3 linked regions of the Drosophila melanogaster genome follow. Changing the gene in region 2 together with the main gene of any one other region gives a genetic interaction. Each region holds a gene or a part of one and is shown on either strand. Other genes may lie near its edges.

Region 1 (7,862 bases), on a different chromosome or scaffold from region 2:
TGCTCAGTCACTGAAAATCAAAATGTACTTAGAATAAATACTATGTACTTCAAACTCTTATGTTATATATCAAGCGTTAAATATATTCAAATAAAAAATCAAAAAGTTATAGGAATTGTGCACAGTGTACAGCAAGCTGAACTTTAGACTGCACTTGAGCTTAGCTTTCGGGTACCGTAGTGCATTTTAAAGTGGGGTTTTGACAGCTTCAAAATTGTAAACAACCGAATATAATTTAAGTCAATACTAATACCCGTTACTTTTAGAGTAAAAGAGTGTTCTAGATTAGTGGAATCGTTTGTAACATTATAAGGTATTCATCTGAGTAACGGGTATCTTATAGTCGAGAGAATCGACTATAACTTTATTTTGTTTGTTTTCTCCTTTCAGAATGAAGAAGACATTATGTCAATGTGTAAATAAAAGCTTAAAACCAAGCACAAAATTAATATTTTGTAACATCCACTGTACAGAAAGGAACTTTTTACGGTTGTGGAAATGAAAAGCAAAATTAATTATTATAGCAAGCGTTTATTTGTAGAAAACAACGAATACATAGAGCAAATTAAAACGAAAAAGAATCTTTATTTTCAAGTCTTGTTTCGGCAATATTAAAACTCGATGAAAGCAAAAGAATTATTTGAACATTTTTGGCCAACAAAAATCCAGCGGTAAATAGTTCCTTTACCTTAAACACAATTCAATGTATGCAATGGGTAATCGTAGCCCAAAAACAAATGAAAATGTATATTAAAAAAAAATAACAATAATAAAAAATAAATGTTGAATAATTTATAAATTCAGTACATATATTTAAAGTGTAAATAAAATGATAAAACGTAATAATAAAACTTATGAAATATAAATTAATTGGTGTACATGCAAAAACAAGTAATACAAATAGATAATTATATAATAATAAACTGCATGCCGCCAGATTTTTGTAATCAAATCGTGTTGTGAAAGTTGTCTTCCCTAATTTATGCCCATTACATTAAAACATTGACAGGGGATTTTAATTTTAATTTCAGTATGGTTTCAATTATGGCCAATATATATAATAAACTATAACCATATGTATAAGAATGTAAAAAGCTAGTTTTATGTACATAAAAATGGGACAAACATTTTGATGTTACTGAATAAATATTAAAAGTATTAACCAAGAAATATGAAAGTAGGATAAAAAAACAGTGAATGTTTCCAGCTGCTAGGAAAAACGATAAGTCTTAGATCTATAAAGAGAATCAAAAACGCGGTCAAATGCATAGCACATAATATATTCATATCCCCAATAAATAACCCGAAATGTGTAAAGCCAGAATAAATGTAATAATAAGATTGAAGAAAACAAAATAGTGATGTAAAATAGCAGCAAGGAAATAAAGTAACCCCTATTCAATAACTATTGCTGACGTCTTTTACTCGTACATGTCATCATTTAATTACGTAATTTAAGTTTGGTTTATTTAAAGTTTGATTTCCGGTTGTACAAGGGTGAGCGTACTTTTAAAACCCACTGTATATAAATACTTTGGTAAAGTGCAGGTTGGGGAGTTTCAGAAGCTTGAAAAGCTCCGTTTCCCGTTATAAAGCTATTGCTGAATATCCGTTATCCAGTTGGCTGGCAGCTTTTTAAGGTTGTTCGTGCACTGGCTTCACTCCCCACAGAACACAGAGCTTTTGGATCTGAAGGTCAGTTGGGACTGGGACCCACATGCCGAGCTTAGTTTGATAGTCAGCGCGCTTTAATGACGACAACTGCACGGCGCGCACAACCCATTAATAATATATTAATTCAAAAGAGCTATAAAATATTAAAAAATATTCAAATATAACTAACTAACGCGCAGTGCACGATTTTCTGACAACAATTCAGTTTCGCTTTTCATGAGACTCCATTGCATTTTCCTTTGTGTTTTTCACACACGTGGTGTTTTTCTGTTACTCGCACTTCGATAGTGGTTATTTTTTTTGGTTACATTGAAAAAATACACCGACTGCCAGCCGAATTCCCATTCGAACCTTAATTTGACCAATTGACGGAAAATTAATTGCGCCCAAAATTAATTAGCAAGCGGATATACAATTTTTTTACGTGAAAAGAGCGTGTTATTTGTCGAAAAGATTTTACAATTGATTGTGTTTAAGTAAATTAACCTGCGATATCTATGTGTATGTGCTACGATCCGAATTTCTGACATTACGGTAAGTGGCGTGTTTTTGGCGGGAATAAAGTCGGTTTCTCTTTGTGCCGTATTTCTCTACCGTTTTTTCTGGCGCCAAAATGAATGAAAACGGTTGGCAACATTTCAAACTTAACATTGCAACATTCTAACCGCTGTTAAGCGTTTGCTCTGCAAATTGTTGTAGCTATGTTGGAGTTCTGGAACACCACCTCTCCCTGCGACTTTGTTTTGTTTTTCGCTCTCGACATATGGAATCGAATCTCTTATTCCGGGAGCGGTTCATTGACCCAGCAACAACAATATTCGCCAGATTTTCTCCTGCCAGCGATTTGCGGAATTCATCCGCTCAACAGTTAGAAGTAAATGCCGTCGAGCAGCGGGCAAAATCGATCGACGAAATCGAGAGCCGCGTTCAGTTGCCTTCAAGCCGTACTTAGAAGAAGTGCTGGTCCCCCAGAAATCAGAGAGATTTTTCCCAACTTGCATTTTTCCAATACTCTGACAAAGCCCCTCAGACCGTCGCAATCACACAGCTATATACTGATATATAGATCTCTATTGCGCAGATCACACCTTAAATGCCTTTCGTCGAGAGATTTCAACAAATACGTAATTTTGTTATGAACGTCTGCCTCGTCGAGGCCATCCAATTCGTCCAGGACCTCTCGCACGCCATCTGTCTGGACCTCCAGGGCCTATTTAATCTCAAGTAGAGATCACCGAGCGATCTCCCAGCGGTAAGTTACGCCATTGGTTTTTGGGCACAAGGAAGTGAAAGTGAAGACACGGGTGAAATTACGGTTTTCGGGATCTCGAGAGAAAGGGGAAAGTACGAACCTCATGGCAGCAGCACTCCATTTTGAGAGGTTATGTGAAAGAACACACAAGAAAGTTTGGAATTTTCGACAGGCGGCGAACCAATAATAATGTTGTTATCCATAATAATATTAATTAGTGAATTTTTATTTCACCTTTTCGCGGCATTATTCTCACAAATTTATAAGACAGATTTTCAAATTAAGACAGAAAGTTTTTTAATGTTAGTGAAAAGTACTTATTCCAGTTGATAGTTAAATACTATTTACCGCAAAAAATTAAAAGAGAACTAAATTTAAAGGTAAAATCGTTTTTTTTTTTGGAAAGTGCATTGCTTAAATTATGGTACCGACTATCAAAATAAAAATAATTAATTTTTATATGGTGTTTCAATATTCACTTTAAATTACCTATGACTCGCTTTCTAACCACTCTCTTCTTATTACGAACATCAATTTTCTTGTTACATCATTTCGGACCTTTCATTTTTCATCACCAGCTCATCCCATCAATTCAGATACACTTTACTTCATTAAGTAGCAGCAATCATCTAACAAAGCTGACCAAACAACGGACCGGCTTCCAGAATCCTTAACTGAGACGGACGTTTTGCTTGGTTTTTAAAACTAAACGACTTTTTGGTACCCACACCTGTTGACCTCTGACGAATTTCTCGATCCACTGACCGATCCACTGATCCAGTGATCATCATCATCATCCGAATTCCACAATGTTGTCCTGTGCCTCTTTCAATAAACTGATGTATCCGTCGGCCGCAGATGTTGCCAAACCGCCAATGGTGGGCTTGGAGGTGGAAGCTGGATCCATTGGATCCCTGTCCAGTCTTCACGCCCTTCCATCGACCACCTCGGTGGGCAGTGGAGCCCCCAGCGAGACGCAGAGCGAGATCTCCTCCGTGGATAGCGATTGGAGTGACATACGCGCCATCGCCATGAAGTTGGGCGTTCAAAACCCAGACGATCTCCACACGGAACGTTTCAAGGTGGATCGACAGAAATTGGAACAGTTAATAAAAGGTAATGCCTTTATATATAAAAATAATAGATTCCTTATTATACATTGCCTTTTTTCTGATAGCGGAGAGCTCCATTGAGGGAATGAATGGAGCTGAATATTTTTTCCATGACGTGAGTACATATTTTTAAGTTTTGGGCACCTATTAGCTTCACACTTTCTTTTGTCTCATTTTGAGACACAGAATGCCATGCCTTATAAATATTGAACATATAATAATATGTTTCCTATTCAATAGTATATTAAGTTATTTAGTTTTTGAGCAAAATTTTTAAGTTAATTGATTCATGTCTTTGTTTGGCAATCTGACTTTGCATCTATAAAATTTCAGTGTATAACCCAATTTGTTTTAAGATACTGTTAGGACCGACTCTTTTGACTTGATATAAAAGAATTCGCCATATATCCAAAACATATTCTTTTACTAGATCATGAACACTACGGATACTTATGTGAGCTGGCCTTGCAGACTCAAAATTGGTGCCAAGAGCAAGAAGGGTAGGATATTGAAATATTTTCAATGTTCAAGAGTATTTTTCAAATAAATCCCATAATTTAAAGATCCCCATGTGCGAATTGTGGGAAAGGTGGATCAGGTTCAGCGGGCAAAGGAGCGCATCCTTAGCAGTCTTGACTCCAGGGTGAGTGAGCCAAAGCATAATACAAACTTATCTGTTTTAATTGTTACCCATTTTTCTCCGAACAGGGCACTCGAGTGATCATGAAAATGGACGTCAGCTACACGGATCACTCGTACATCATCGGACGAGGTGGCAACAACATCAAGCGCATAATGGACGACACGCATACCCATATCCACTTCCCCGACTCGAATCGCTCCAATCCCACGGAGAAATCCAACCAGGTGTCGCTGTGCGGCAGCCTAGAGGGCGTGGAGCGAGCCCGGGCTCTCGTTCGGCTCTCCACACCGCTGCTCATCTCCTTCGAGATGCCCGTAATGGGACCCAACAAGCCGCAGCCCGACCACGAGACTCCCTACATCAAGATGATCGAGACCAAGTTCAATGTTCAGGTGAGTTCCAGATGTCGGAGTCAACTAAGTGTAAGATTATAAATTAATTATAAATTAATCATGGCATGTTACCAAATATTATTTGCATTTGACTATAATGGCTTGATTAGTTTAACTAATTTAGGTAAGATTTTGTAATATACATTCATACATACATTTAAGAGGGGGTATAGAAAATGTCAAATTTTTTTTTCCCAACCCTTGAGAGTTGTGATTATATATTGCTCCATTATAATTTTATCAACTGATGTTACATTAGGCTAATTTTGCAGTTGTGTTATTATTATATATTTTTAAGTGATTTAGAACGCATTTAAAGTAATAAAGTTACTTAAACGTTATTTTCGAATTTGGCAACCTTAAATTACAACCAAGGATTTTTGTAAACAGTTTTTTCGTTGCTCTTAATTATTATTGAATATATTTTAAAGATTTTTCCTCCTTTCAGGTCATATTCTCCACGCGTCCAAAATTGCATACCTCGCTGGTTTTGGTCAAGGGATCCGAGAAGGAATCGGCGCAGGTCCGAGATGCCACGCAGCTGCTGATCAACTTCGCCTGTGAGAGTATTGCGGTAGGTTCGAGAAGGATAACTCAAAATAAGGCTCATCAGCGAATCCTTTTTCCTTTTTAGAGCCAAATCCTGGTGAATGTCCAGATGGAGATCTCGCCGCAGCATCACGAAATCGTCAAGGGCAAGAACAACGTGAATCTGCTGAGCATTATGGAGCGAACCCAGACCAAGATCATATTCCCCGATCTGAGCGACATGAACGTGAAGCCCCTGAAGAAGTCCCAGGTCACGATCAGCGGACGCATCGACGACGTCTACTTGGCGCGACAACAATTGCTTGGCAATTTGCCCGTAGCATTGATTTTTGACTTTCCGGACAACCACAACGATGCATCCGAAATAATGAGCCTCAACACCAAGTACGGCGTCTACATCACGTTGCGCCAGAAACAGCGGCAGAGCACCCTGGCCATTGTGGTCAAGGGAGTGGAGAAGTTTATAGGTAAGATCTCTAAAGCAATGTGTAAAGTGTATGATTTTCGTTGATTCTGCATTAATATACGATTGCACTTTCCATTATTGTTTGATTTTTATCCCATATTTTCCTTACTTTTTAGATATATTATACAATTTAAGATATTTAGCAAGTGCTGAATTAAATTTCCGTATTAATCCGTTGTTGTCACCCTCCTTAGACAAAATCTACGAGGCCCGCCAGGAGATCCTGCGCCTGGCCACGCCATTCGTGAAGCCCGAGATCCCCGACTACTACTTCATGCCAAAGGACAAAGACCTTAATCTCGCCTACCGCACCCAGTTAACTGCTCTGCTGGCTGGGTATGTGGACAGCCCGAAGACTCCATCGCTGCTGCCGCCCTCCTTGGCTGGCCAACTGACGCCCTATGCCAACAACAATCACCTGTTGTTGAACGCCAATGGCTTGGCCACGCCCACTGGGGTGTGTGCGCCCACCCAAAAATATATGCAGTTGCACAACAGCTTCCAACAGGCTCAGAATCGTTCCATGGTGGCTGGTGGGCAGAGCAACAATGGCAACTATCTGCAGGTTCCTGGAGCGGTGGCGCCGCCTCTCAAACCGCCGACTGTTTCGCCACGGAACAGCTGCAGTCAGAATACCAGTGGTTACCAGAGCTTTAGCAGCAGCACCACCTCCCTGGAGCAGTCGTATCCGCCGTATGCCCAATTGCCGGGCACCGTGTCGTCCACTTCATCCTCCACCGCGGGAAGCCAAAATCGGGCGCATTATTCGCCAGATTCCACTTACGGCAGTGAGGGTGGTGGCGTTGGCGGCGGAGGTGGTGGTGGGGCGCGTCTGGGACGACGCCTTAGCGATGGAGTGCTGCTGGGGCTGAGTAATTCCAACGGTGGAGGAGGTAACTCCGGAGGAGCCCACCTCCTGCCCGGCAGTGCCGAGAGCTATCGGAGTTTGCACTATGACCTTGGAGGAAACAAGCACTCCGGCCACCGTGCCTTTGACTTCGACATGAAACGGGCCCTGGGCTACAAAGCCATGGAGCGCACCCCGGTGGCAGGGGAGCTGCGAACACCCACGACCGCTTGGATGGGAATGGGCTTGAGCAGCACCTCGCCCGCCCCTGCCCCGCTGGAGAACGGGGAAAATGGGGCTGCTGGTGGAGGAGCATCTAGTGGGTGGCGGCTGCCACCAGGACTGGGTTCCCCTTACGGACTGAGTGCCACCACCGGACTCCTGGACGCCACTCCAGTCAACCGACGGATGCAGCTAGCCAAGCACAAGGACATCCAGACTCTGCTCACCAGTTTGGGTCTGGAGCACTACATCAGTGAGTAGCTCCGCCGATCATGTCCGTTTTTACCAACTGTGTACTAGAAGTCTTTTATAAAGCTATCATATATGTCTGGCTTGAACTGGAGAGTGTTTTATTTAACGCAAACGTTTTTTCACAGTCATAGATAAAGTTACATAAAGTTCAACATCCATATAGCATTTAAAATCAAACTATTTTATATTTACAACCTGGGAAAACTACAGTTTTTATTTCTCCTTTCAGAAATATTCGTTCTAAACGAAATCGACCTGGAGGTGTTCACCACCCTGACCGAGGAAAACCTGATGGAGCTGGGTATCGCGGCGTTTGGAGCTCGCAAGAAGCTGCTGACGGCCATTCACACGCTGCTGGCCAACGAGGCGGCCTGCAGCACAATGCCCAGCAGCAGCTCCTCGCAGAACTCCTCGTCGCCGCGATTCTCCGGAAGTGCGGCCCCAGGCGCAGAG
Region 2 (6,029 bases):
CCAGGTGGGTCTGCACCGCCCTGCAGCTAACCGAATTCAAGATCTCGACGAAGCTCAACATCTGACCACTGCGGGCCGCTAGGTGAAGGTTGTTTAGCTGGGAGAAACGTAGACGCGGCTCGTGGGGAAACTTGGCCCGGATCTCCTCGGAGATCTCCACCAGCATTCCGTGGGCCATGTTGAAGTAGCCGAAATCGGGCGGATAGCCGTCGTATATGGACGTATGTGCCTCGTCTAGAGGCGCCTCTTCTGCGGGATCGACGTCCATTCTGGCCGGGAAATGGACGATGCTGCACTGATCGGTGATCACTGATCACCAGGTATGGGTATGGAAGCAATCCACACAGGCCCACTCTTTCCAGGCCAGGCGGCAATACGGTCACACCTAGCGGTGCACCTGCGAGAGTGAAAACAGTGACTCGGCGCGATAGGCTGACCGTTAGTTTATCGTTCGTTTATTCGCGCCCTTTGCAGATATTACATATGTTTGTTGATTCGTTAGTTTATCGTTCGTTTATTCGCGCCCTTTGCAGATATTACATATGTTTGTTGATTGTAAATATGAAACATATATGAAATACAGCTTGAAATACTGGATATGTTCACAAGTGTTGGGTTAGATTAAGTGTGCGAATTGAATATGCTTTCTGTGTGCGTGCGTGTGCGTGCGTAAGGTTAACTGTATTAGATTGGTGTATTTTTATATCGTGCTTTCTTTAGCTTCAATGTGAAAGTTTTCTACATTGGACCAGGCCTGGATCTTGGGTTTTATTCATAGAGTTTTGATAGTGTGCGTCGACAGGCCCGTCCAATGGAAAATTTTCATCGAGGCGTTTCGTTTTGGATCATATTTTCCCAATCTCCCATTTGAGTGCGGCGATGTGCATCGGTTCGCCGGGAAAACTATGCCTAAACGCAGCGAGTTCTTAATTGTACATCATATTTGTTGTTCCTTCTTCTCCATCATTATTTCTAGCATACGCTGCTTTAAAGTGTGGATATATAGTCTCTTGAGTTTACAGTGGGCTCAGCATCCTCCCTATGCTGGACAATATAGTTTTCAAACGTCTCGATTAACAATTCACTCGTTTCAAAAATGTCGCTTGAAGCTTGTGTCATCACTATTCAACAGTCACTGTTTACGTCACAGTCACGGTTTACTCACACTATCGATACACCAACGTGCTCGTGAGTTGTGCGCGGATGTGTTTGTTGTGTTCACGGGAAATTTGCTTCCACTGGAATTTAAAGCTTGTCTGCACTAGATCTTCTAAAAGGAAGAAAGTTCGTATGTGGTTTAAATCTCCATTCTCTGCCCTTGTCTTCTTGTGTTTTGATCATCCATTTTTTGATATACTGAAATGGCAAAATGTCGGTTAGGAAACTCAATCCCGAAAATCCCAAAGTGATTTGAATGATTAGCTTAAGCGTTGTGAGTTTATATTGAAAATATGTAATAAAACCTTTTACATTTAGCTAAAAAAGGCTACATTTTTATCAATATATTTGATGCATAAAATTCATTAAAAATACAAGCAAGTGTACGCAATTCATAAAATTAATCAACAATCTACATGAAGGCTTACCCCTCGTTAACTACGTTATCTACAAAGCAAATGGCAGAAGTATCTCAATATAAGATATTTACTTTACGGATCCACCAGAACTGGATTTTAGTTGGAGGCCGTGATGGCCACCGGTGTCGGTGAGGGTTGTGCCACGACTGGGCTTATGGTTACGGCAGGTGGAGCGCTATTGTTGAGCTCAGACACGCCTGAGGAGGATATTTCAGCAGCAACCTTGAGTCCATTGGGGGTTGCACCCAAGCTTTGACGCGAGTTGCGCTTACGGTGCATACGCGGCTTGTTTGGCGAGGGAGTCTTGGTAGTAGAGTCGGGCAACGAGGAAACGCTGCGCGACTTGTCACCTCCTGCTCCAAACTCGGTGCTAGCCGATGGGGAGCTGGATGGCCTAGCGTCCTTCACCGATTGGCGGCCGCCGCGTCGATTGCGACGACGATAATTGTTATTATTGTTGCTGTTACCCTTGACAACCGGCTTCACCGTGGTCTTCTTGGGATCGAAATAGCTGTCCAGAAGCTCGAGCAGCTCCGCCTTGTCCTTGCTCTTTAGCCGGCCAATTGACTGCAGGGCTATGTCCAGGCCCTCGATGTTTTTCTCTGCCCAGATGGCACTTAGCGTGTTCAAATCGAACCCATTCTCGGCCAGCACAATGCGGAACTTTACGGCACGCACACGATGGTACAGAGTGGTCTTGAAGTAGTTCAGGAACACCGGACGGAAGGAGTTTTGACGCTCCAAATTTTCGATCTGGATATCCAGCTCCAGGACATCGGACACCACCAACTTGGCAAACGGACGTATGGCATTAAACATATTCTCCAATGCCTCCGAGCTTTTTGGTTCCGGCTTGCCGTCGGAGTTGCTCAGCTGAAGGGCCACATCAAAGGCCAATTTGGCACGAACACTGGCATTGCCATCAAACAGTTCCCGCTTACCCTGAACGGCGTTCTTGCTAGATTGCTTATCGTCACCATTGGTCACGGTACTGTCCCTGGGGGATATCGATACCGAATCGGACACCATACTAGATCCAGATCCCAAGCCAGATCCAGATCCAGATGTGGACGCAGAGCAAGCCGCGTCTTCCTCCTTGGTCGTGGACAAGATCTTGGAAAGCTTTCGCAGACTGTAGTTCTTTATGTTGGCATCGCCAATGGAAGCCTTGGCCAGATTGATGCTGTTTGCAAACGACTTCACCGACGCGGTGAAGCGCTCCAACAGGCCGTACTTCTTCAACGACTCCAGGATCATGTAGGGAATGAACTTGCGCTCTTCATGATAGATAAGCACAATCCCGTCCGAGCTGGGACCCGCCTTGGTCTTCAGTTGCTCAAGCCAGTTGAGGAAGTCCTTGAGGGCAGCGATCTCAGACTTGGATTTAATGATCTGAGAGGATATTGTATGTTGAATTGTGGATGCTTCAATACTTGACTGCCACTATTAAATGGACTGGACTGCACTGGACTCACCTTATAAGTCTGCATCGACTTCAGCATACGATAAAAGCCAATCGAAATAACACGAACTTGATGACGCTGGCGAGCAGCTGGATTCAGATTCATATATGGCATGATGTACTGCTCGAAGTGGTCGGTGGGTGTATAAGCGGCCAGCTGGACAATCTGTGGGTTTATCGCAAGTGGGGTTAGGACCGAACGACGAACGATCTAACGGCAGTCAGGGGGTATTACCTCATCCATTAGACGACGTCCAGTGGTGTCGATATCCACGCCCACCAGGATATAATTACCGGCCGGCAGCTCAACTTTATCGCCCACGGGCGACGAGGATTGATCGGCGACGGCAATGGCCACTCCGGCATCGATGTTATCGGCAACCATTTTCTTATATGATCTGCGAAAAGCAATCTAGAAAATTCGGATAACGAAATTAGCTGAGTCACTAGAATTTTTTTTTTTTAAGGAACCGATTTCCTTTGCAAAACGCGAACCGCTTTCACTAGATTTTCGATATGAAGTGACGGGCTACGAATTTTCAAGAGTCTATTAAACCCAAAGCTACAACTAACGGTTTTCTTCCAGTGGCGCCATCTTTTACACAGATGTTTTTATGTGTATGTATGTATGTTCACTTTCACCACACTTTAGCACTTTTCTTTTGGGCTCACCTTTATTGAACTCCTTTTTCGTGTTGGTTTCGATGGGCTCTTTCGCTTTTTACGAACTTTTTCCTTTATTTTTCAAAAGGTTAAAGCGAAATTTGCTTCTGTTCGACGAGCTTTCACAAATAAGAAACAATTCGTACGACTAACTAAAACGTAATGAATAATTTCCTGATGCACCCGACGGCCTAGGAAAAGTGCGCGAATTTGACATATGCAAAGCCTGCTAATCGAGGTTTTTGACTTAAGTACGATGGGTTAGACAGCTGCAACTCGTCCACATCTTGCCACAACGCCCACTGTGCAGGTGAAAACTTTTTGCAGAATATTTTTACCGCTGCTATAATAAAATATAGTCTTTCAGCTTGTAAATAAATTTTTTTCCAATTATTAGCCGGCAAAATTGGTGGGTAAACAACAAATATTTGGACAAAAGCGCAGACAAGAACTGATAAGAGGATCAGGGATGACGAATTTCAAATGGTTGCGCCAGAGATGACAGGGTATCGATATCACTATCGATAGACTTATCGAAGACGGCTTAGCACTTATACCTACTCTGCAGCCCTGGTCGGCAGAAAAACAATAATCAGCTGATGCCATCGCTTATTTCCAACAATTTGCACCGCAAAAGTGAAGAATTACCAAGCAAATAGATCGCCTGCCGACCGAATTATGCTGCTGTAATCACCCAAGCACACAACGGTAAAGATAAAACCAGGCGAGATAACACCACGCACAGGTGCCACAACATGCTGTCCTACATAAAGCGCAAGCTCTCCGAATCCGACAGCGGCGTCAGTTCGGTCGCAACTGTGACGTCGTCGTGCGGCGGCGATAGTGGGAGAGCGGGCGGAACGGGCAGCAGTGAAAGCGGTACGGGCAGCAGCAGCGCCAGTATCAGCGGACGCAGCCAGAACGCCGACGAGTTAGTGCGCAAAACGAGCCAGATGTCGATGGATGATGAGGCCATTGCCTTCGGGGAGGACGCACTGCTCCATGAACTGGGCTACAAGAATCAGACGGAACTGCAGGAAACCATCTACGGTTCGATATTTAATGGCATTCTTTTTCACTTTGGCCTAGTTATGTAATTTCTCTTGTCGTTACACAGATCTGTTGCGCGGCATTCGCGATCCCGAGAAGCCGTGCACTTTGGAGGACCTCAACGTTGTCTACGAGGATGGAATCTTTGTGATGCCGCCCACGCGCTCCAATGTCTCAGTTGTACGTTACTCAATATCTTTATAAGCCATAAGCTTGAGCCCTAATCATCATTTCATCATAAGTTAAATCTGCGCGTGTGTTTATTTGCTTTCATCACTATTGTTGCTTAATATTTGAAAGGATTAACGATTTAGCTTCAAAATGACTTTAAAATTGATCTCATAGCTTAAAGTACTTGTATTATACTAAATCCACACCTCATAAATCTTTTGTGTAGTAAAAAGTTGAAATGCATGGTATTTGTCTCTTAATTCTTTCAGGTTCGCATCGAGTTTAACCCCACAGTGCCACATTGCTCGTTGGCCACGCTTATTGGACTCTGTATACGCGTGAAAGTAGAACGCGGACTTCCGCACAACATAAAGCTAGACATATACATCAAGAAGGGAGCGCATCAAACCGAGGAAGAGAGTAAGTTGGACCAACCAGATACTATTATCATACATATGTGTTCTAAGTAAAAATGATTACGTTTCCCCAGTTAACAAGCAAATCAATGACAAGGAGCGCATCGCTGCGGCCATGGAGAACCCCAATCTGAGGGATTTGGTCGAGAACTGCATCAAGGATGAGGAGTAGCTCTCTTTGCCATATCTTTTGTACATAGGGAATACTTTGAGGAATGTCTAGGATTAAGTGTACCATTAAGTTGCATCAGGGAGTGTGTGCTTAGCATTAAAGCCCTTAAAATCTGTTAATCGCTCGGCCGTTTTGATTCCACCAGAATATCGATTGCTCAACGTCCTATCTATTTTCCCGCCTATGCTGCTTACTGATAAGGTCCCCCGGGCCCAACAACTCTCATTGTTTACATTGTGCCGAAGCGATATGGCCGTCGGACATTCGGCCCAAGAAAACCGTGTGCACATCGGTGTCATGGCGGGTGAATGAATCTGAATCGCAATCGTATCGATGGGCCGGCCATGTTGGGCACCAGCCAGACGGCGTGTACGTCACACGGATTTATCAGCTTCAGAAGAGTAGAGAATGTTTGGGGCGTAACGCAGGGTAATCACCTGCCGTTGGCGCTGTTAAGTTGAGTGCATGACACACATTCGACTCAACTCGACTCGGCTAATTTCTTTGCAACTCTCCGG
Region 3 (5,602 bases), on a different chromosome or scaffold from region 2:
TCTGGTCTGCAAAAACCAGATCCAATGTCATGGGTCCGGTTTCCTGGATCCCTTTTCTTCGTAGCTTCATCGGGACGTTGCTCAAAGGTCGATGACTCAGATCCACGTCCTCGTTCTTTAGTAACGTTTTGTATCCCATGAGGGTGCGAAACCCCTTTGATCTTCAGGGGCCAAGCCAGTCTTTTGTTGCACTCACTTTGTGTTGTGATGACATTGGCTCTGGCTCAGGAGAAGTGAGAATGGATCCCATGGAAACATCATTAGATCGCGTTACCTTATAGCGCGTTCAATGAATGGTAGTTATGCATGGACAGGCATGGGAAAATGATGTTGAAGGTGTCGCGGCGTAGGGTAAATGTCATTAACATCATTAATATTACTGTGAGTCCTGCACATCATTGGATCAGCGAATAATGAAAACCCTTTTTCGTAAAATTTCCATTTTTATTATAAGAGAGTTTGGGAAAATCAAATGCAAATATGTTTATGGGAAAATATTACCTCTATGAAACCAAAGGATGGTTTCGTAACCTTATATACATACATATTATGTACATGAACTATATAAATTGACAAAGGTTGTGAAGCATAAATATAAATTAAAAAGTAATGCTTGAGTATTAATATTCTATTGATTTCCAAACGATTTCCCTTGTCCTATGGCTCCCTACATTGTCTTTCTACATTATAATTCTTTTGCACAGCTGTGTGTGGCTGACCCACCCAGAATTTCATGCTTGTCTGCTTTAACCTAGAATTATCACCTCCCAGTTGCTAGAATCTTCCGGTCATTGTTTGCCATCAAAGGAACAACCAGCTGATTTCAGTTGGCAGTTGTGACAAACTCACTGGAGAAAAGAAGTGAAAAAATGACAGGATGCACAGGCAGCTACCGCAGGATCAGCAGGATATCATGAGGGGGTTCTCTATACAGATTATAGATGGCCGATTGCCCAACTGCCTAGCGATATCACATGAAAAATCAATTTTCCCGACGCATTTCCATTTTCCATGCAATTCATTTAGCCTCAATTCCATTCAACTCATTGCGCAGGCGCAACTCGCCCATTTCCGACGCATTTTCCTTTAATTATGCGGGCATCGGATTTCGTATCAAATTAACGAATTATGCTGGCTGCCAGCTGTGTTGGAGCTAACGGATGAGGCAGTCCATCCAGCCATCAGCTCATATCCTTGTACTCGTAGTCTCGCAATTCTCGAAAGCAATCGCATTTACTTGTAGTCCTCGAAGGAAAGGAGAAGCCCAGGCAGATGTGAGTGAGTGTGTCTCTGTTCGTCGGCAACGGCACATTTCCCATATGTACTTAAGCCGGGGAATGCGGAACCCCGTCGTCCTATCTCCACCCCTACCCATCTTGCTACCCCCACTCCGGTCTCGAACCCTCCTCGTGCTGTCTTGAACTACAATTGCAACATTTGCGCGCGCTAAAATGAAAACATTTCCTTTATATACACGAGGCCGACGTCTTGACAAACACACAGATAAGACGAACAGGGGATCAAGAACTGTGGCACGAACTACCACCAAATAAAAAAAAAATTAGGAGTCGTATAACTCGGCTTACCTGAATTCTAGATACTCTTAAAAGAGGACATTATAGAAAATATATAATATTATATGTTTAATTTAAATTGAAAAGTGGTTAAGATCAGAAGAATTATGCCGTCTGCAAATGACTTGTCTAATATTAAATTAACATTAGAATGTTTAAGGAATATGAAATTTTTGTTCAGCTAATATCTAAAAAATCCAAAATTGTCGTGATATTATTTTCTATGTCCACTAATTATTATATTCAATGTTAATGTTATTAGATTAAAATGAAAGTCCTACGAAATGAAAACCATAAACCATTTTTCGTTTGAAGATCTCGGAAATACCCAACCTGAAATGTTGGGTATATCCCACATAGGTGAAGCAATGCAGGATCGTTGAAGCGACCCCTGCTCGAGCGAGGGTTGTTTTCTTTGCCTCCCCTGGGTCTATCTCGTTTCCACACTCTATCCATCCCTTTTCCACTCGCTGTGCCAGCTGGAGGCTATGTCTGCCTCAGGGATCTTGGACAGAAGGTGAGCTCAGTTAGGTTTTGACAGCGGAACGCGTAGGTACAGTGAAACGGGTAGCAACGGGATAGCGGGTTTAGTGTAGCACAGAACGGACCACAAAGTACAGATGAATTAAATACGACTACAGACTACTACCATATTGTTAAACAGTTTACCTAAAAATCCTAAGGAAAAGATAACCAAATTAAACCGAAAGTTAAAGTTGTGTTTATGTTTGATCGTTGAGTTATTGTTATATCGAAAGTTAAACGAGCGTTGTTAATGAGACATTGATACAAAATCCGAAAAGAATCGTTACCAAGTTAAACCGAAAGTCCAAAAAACAAATTCGAAAATGTCTTTCTCCAAGGCCAAGTTGAAGCGTTTCAACGACGTGGATGTGGCCATCTGCGGTTCGCCAGCTGCGTCCAACAGCTCGGCGGGATCGGCGGGCAGTGCCACGCCCACCGCGTCTTCGGCAGCCGCTGCTCCGCCAACCGTTCAACCGGAACGCAAGGAGCAGATCGAGAAGTTCTTCAAGGACGCCGTGCGTTTCGCGTCCAGCTCGAAGGAGGCCAAGGAATTTGCCATTCCCAAGGAGGACAAAAAGTCAAAGGGATTACGTCTGTTCCGTACTCCTTCGTTGCCGCAGCGCCTACGCTTCCGTCCGACTCCCAGTCACACGGATACGGCCACCGGAAGCGGAAGTGGCGCCTCAACAGCGGCATCCACTCCTCTGCATTCGGCAGCCACCACGCCCGTAAAGGAGGCCAAGTCAGCCAGCCGTCTGAAGGGCAAGGAGGCACTCCAGTACGAAATCCGTCACAAAAACGAACTGATCGAGAGCCAGTTGAGCCAACTGGACGTGCTGCGCCGCCATGTGGATCAGTTGAAGGAAGCCGAGGCCAAGTTGCGCGAGGAGCATGAGTTGGCTACCTCCAAGACAGATCGGCTCATCGAAGCCCTGACCAGTGAGAATTTATCGCACAAAGCTCTGAACGAGCAGATGGGCCAGGAGCACGCTGATCTTTTGGAGCGTTTGGCCGCCATGGAGCAGCAGTTGCAGCAACAGCACGACGAGCATGAAAGGCAAGTGGAGGCGTTGGTTGCCGAGAGCGAGGCACTGCGTCTGGCCAACGAGCTGCTGCAGACAGCGAATGAGGATCGTCAAAAGGTGGAGGAGCAGCTGCAGGCACAACTCTCTGCTCTTCAGGCGGATGTGGCTCAGGCCCGCGAGCACTGCAGCCTGGAGCAGGCAAAGACCGCCGAGAACATTGAGCTGGTAGAGAATCTCCAGAAGACCAATGCCTCCCTGCTGGCCGACGTGGTCCAGCTGAAGCAGCAGATCGAACAGGATGCCCTGTCCTACGGACAGGAGGCCAAGAGCTGCCAGGCGGAACTGGAGTGTCTGAAGGTGGAGCGCAACACCCTGAAGAATGACTTGGCCAACAAGTGCACTCTGATCCGCTCGCTGCAAGACGAGCTTCTCGACAAGAACTGCGAGATCGATGCTCACTGCGATACCATTCGCCAGCTGTGCCGGGAACAGGCTCGCCACACCGAGCAGCAGCAGGCGGTGGCCAAGGTGCAGCAGCAGGTTGAGAGCGACCTAGAGAGCGCGGTGGAGCGCGAGAAGAGCTACTGGCGCGCCGAGCTGGACAAGCGCCAGAAGCTGGCCGAGAACGAGCTGATCAAGATCGAGCTGGAGAAGCAGGACGTGATGGTGCTGCTGGAGACCACCAATGATATGCTGCGCATGCGCGACGAGAAGCTGCAGAAATGCGAAGAGCAGTTGCGCAACGGCATCGACTACTACATCCAGCTGAGCGACGCACTGCAGCAGCAGCTGGTGCAGCTGAAGCAGGACATGGCCAAGACGATCACCGAGAAGTACAACTACCAGCTGACTTTGACCAACACCCGGGCCACCGTCAACATTCTGATGGAGCGTCTAAAGAAGTCCGATGCGGATGTGGAGCAGTACCGAGCGGAGCTGGAATCGGTGCAGTTGGCCAAGGGAGCGCTGGAGCAGAGCTATCTGGTGTTGCAGGCGGACGCAGAGCAACTGCGCCAGCAATTGACCGAGAGCCAGGATGCGCTCAACGCACTGAGATCCTCCTCCCAGACGCTGCAGAGCGAGGTATCGTTGAAGGAGTCCTTGCTCCACGAGCTGCTAGCCGGCGAGGCGGAGACGTTGGCTAAATTCAATCAGATTGCAAACTCGTTCCAGGAGCGCATCGATGGCGACGCCCAGTTGGCCCACTACCACGAGCTGCGCCGCAAGGACGAGACGCGCGAGGCCTACATGGTGGACATGAAGAAGGCGCTCGATGAATTCGCCACCGTGCTGCAGTTCGCCCAATTGGAGCTGGACAACAAGGAGCAGATGCTTGTTAAGGTGCGCGAGGAGTGCGAACAGCTCAAGCTGGAGAACATTGCCCTCAAGTCCAAGCAACCGGGATCCGCCTCTCTGCTGGGAACACCTGGCAAGGCCAACCGCTCCAATACCACCGATCTGGAGAAGATCGAGGATCTGCTGTGCGACTCGGAGCTGCGATCCGACTGCGAGAAGATCACCACGTGGCTGCTCAACTCCTCGGACAAGTGCGTGCGCCAGGATACCACCAGCGAGATCAACGAGCTCCTGTCCGCCGGCAAGTCCTCGCCCCGTCCCGCCCCCCGCACACCCAAGGCGCCGCACACCCCGCGCAGTCCGCGCACCCCCCACACCCCACGAACACCACGATCGGCGGCCAGCACTCCCAAGAAGACTGTCCTGTTCGCCGGCAAGGAGAACGTGCCCAGTCCGCCACAGAAGCAGGTGCTCAAGGCGCGCAACATCTAGGCTATTCCTTTGTAACAACTACTCTATCGTACTATTATAAATTATATACCTTAGCTAAGATCCGATTCGAAATATAATCAATACACGTTGCACACAACACAGCCAGAGGTGTTTCTGAAATCTCTTTCGAGCACTCTCCGACTAAATTCCAAATCTGATTGTTTTCTATCTTTCGCGTTTGTGTTCTGGAAATATGGGACTTACCTAATCTCATAAAAAATATCATTTTGATGCAATGCATTTTAAGGCATGAGAAATCAAATAAAAAATCTGAAAAAGGTGTCTTGGAAAGTGAGACCTTCTTTAAAGCTATTTAAATTAAATAGACTCATCTTTGAATGTAACGAAAATAATGAGAATGCATCAATTATTTTTTCCATTTATTAGCCAATTTATTCATATAAGGTCAAATTATCTGTAAAAAAAAAAAAGAAATAAAAGGTATTCTGATCTAAAATGTAGAAGTGTACAGTATCATCACCTTGAACTTCGTTCTTAAAATACGTTATATCTTGTATATGCATTTAAAAAAGCCTGTACCTAAAGAATCAGGAAATTGTTTACGTTTTTCATACCAACCCCGTGCAACTCGTTTTTGATTTCGATGTGGTGGAATTTTCTCATGCTGAAACTCCTCGTTGAAGAATGAGAAGGAAGGGGTGTGGGCTGCCATGCAATCCGATGGATTCT

The links.
Region 1: of exu (region 2) and BicC, changing one enhances a phenotype caused by changing the other (phenotypic enhancement), as found in Drosophila melanogaster (one study listed by BioGRID).
Region 3: of exu (region 2) and mira, changing one suppresses a phenotype caused by changing the other (phenotypic suppression), as found in Drosophila melanogaster (one study listed by BioGRID).

What each region holds. Positions count from the first base shown.
Region 1 is NT_033779.5:16,040,320-16,048,181, forward strand, and holds the start of BicC (bicaudal C), read left to right. Parts: upstream 1-1,727; 5' UTR 1,728-2,208; intron 2,209-2,597; exon of another isoform or gene 2,598-2,755; 5' UTR 2,756-2,767; coding exon of another isoform or gene 2,768-2,902; 5' UTR 2,903-2,926; intron 2,927-3,504; 5' UTR 3,505-3,735; coding exon 3,736-4,042; intron 4,043-4,103; coding exon 4,104-4,153; intron 4,154-4,232; exon of another isoform or gene 4,233-4,468; coding exon 4,469-4,538; intron 4,539-4,601; coding exon 4,602-4,681; intron 4,682-4,746; coding exon 4,747-5,073; intron 5,074-5,521; coding exon 5,522-5,647; intron 5,648-5,707; coding exon 5,708-6,089; intron 6,090-6,282; coding exon 6,283-7,410; intron 7,411-7,638; coding exon 7,639-7,862. Other genes in the region: CG45084 (uncharacterized protein), read left to right, coding at 2,768-2,902. UniProt on the Drosophila melanogaster protein: RNA-binding protein that is involved in oogenesis. Required for correct targeting of the migrating anterior follicle cells and the establishment of anterior-posterior polarity in the oocyte. May act as translational repressor of oskar during oogenesis.
Region 2 is NT_033778.4:20,666,927-20,672,955, forward strand, and holds exu (exuperantia), read right to left. Parts: upstream 3,836-6,029; 5' UTR 3,712-3,835; exon of another isoform or gene 3,710-3,711; intron 3,566-3,709; exon of another isoform or gene 3,452-3,565; 5' UTR 3,425-3,451; coding exon 3,275-3,424; intron 3,206-3,274; coding exon 3,053-3,205; intron 2,970-3,052; coding exon 1,674-2,969; 3' UTR 1,649-1,673; exon of another isoform or gene 1,426-1,648; intron 1,357-1,425; 3' UTR 501-1,356; downstream 1-500. Other genes in the region: Fem-1, read right to left, coding at 1-268; galla-1, read left to right, coding at 4,458-4,752, 4,820-4,932, 5,193-5,343, 5,414-5,511. UniProt on the Drosophila melanogaster protein: Ensures the proper localization of the mRNA of the bicoid gene to the anterior regions of the oocyte thus playing a fundamental role in the establishment of the polarity of the oocyte. May bind the bcd mRNA.
Region 3 is NT_033777.3:19,931,494-19,937,095, reverse strand, and holds mira (miranda), read left to right. Parts: upstream 1-2,097; 5' UTR 2,098-2,422; coding exon 2,423-4,912; 3' UTR 4,913-5,062; downstream 5,063-5,602.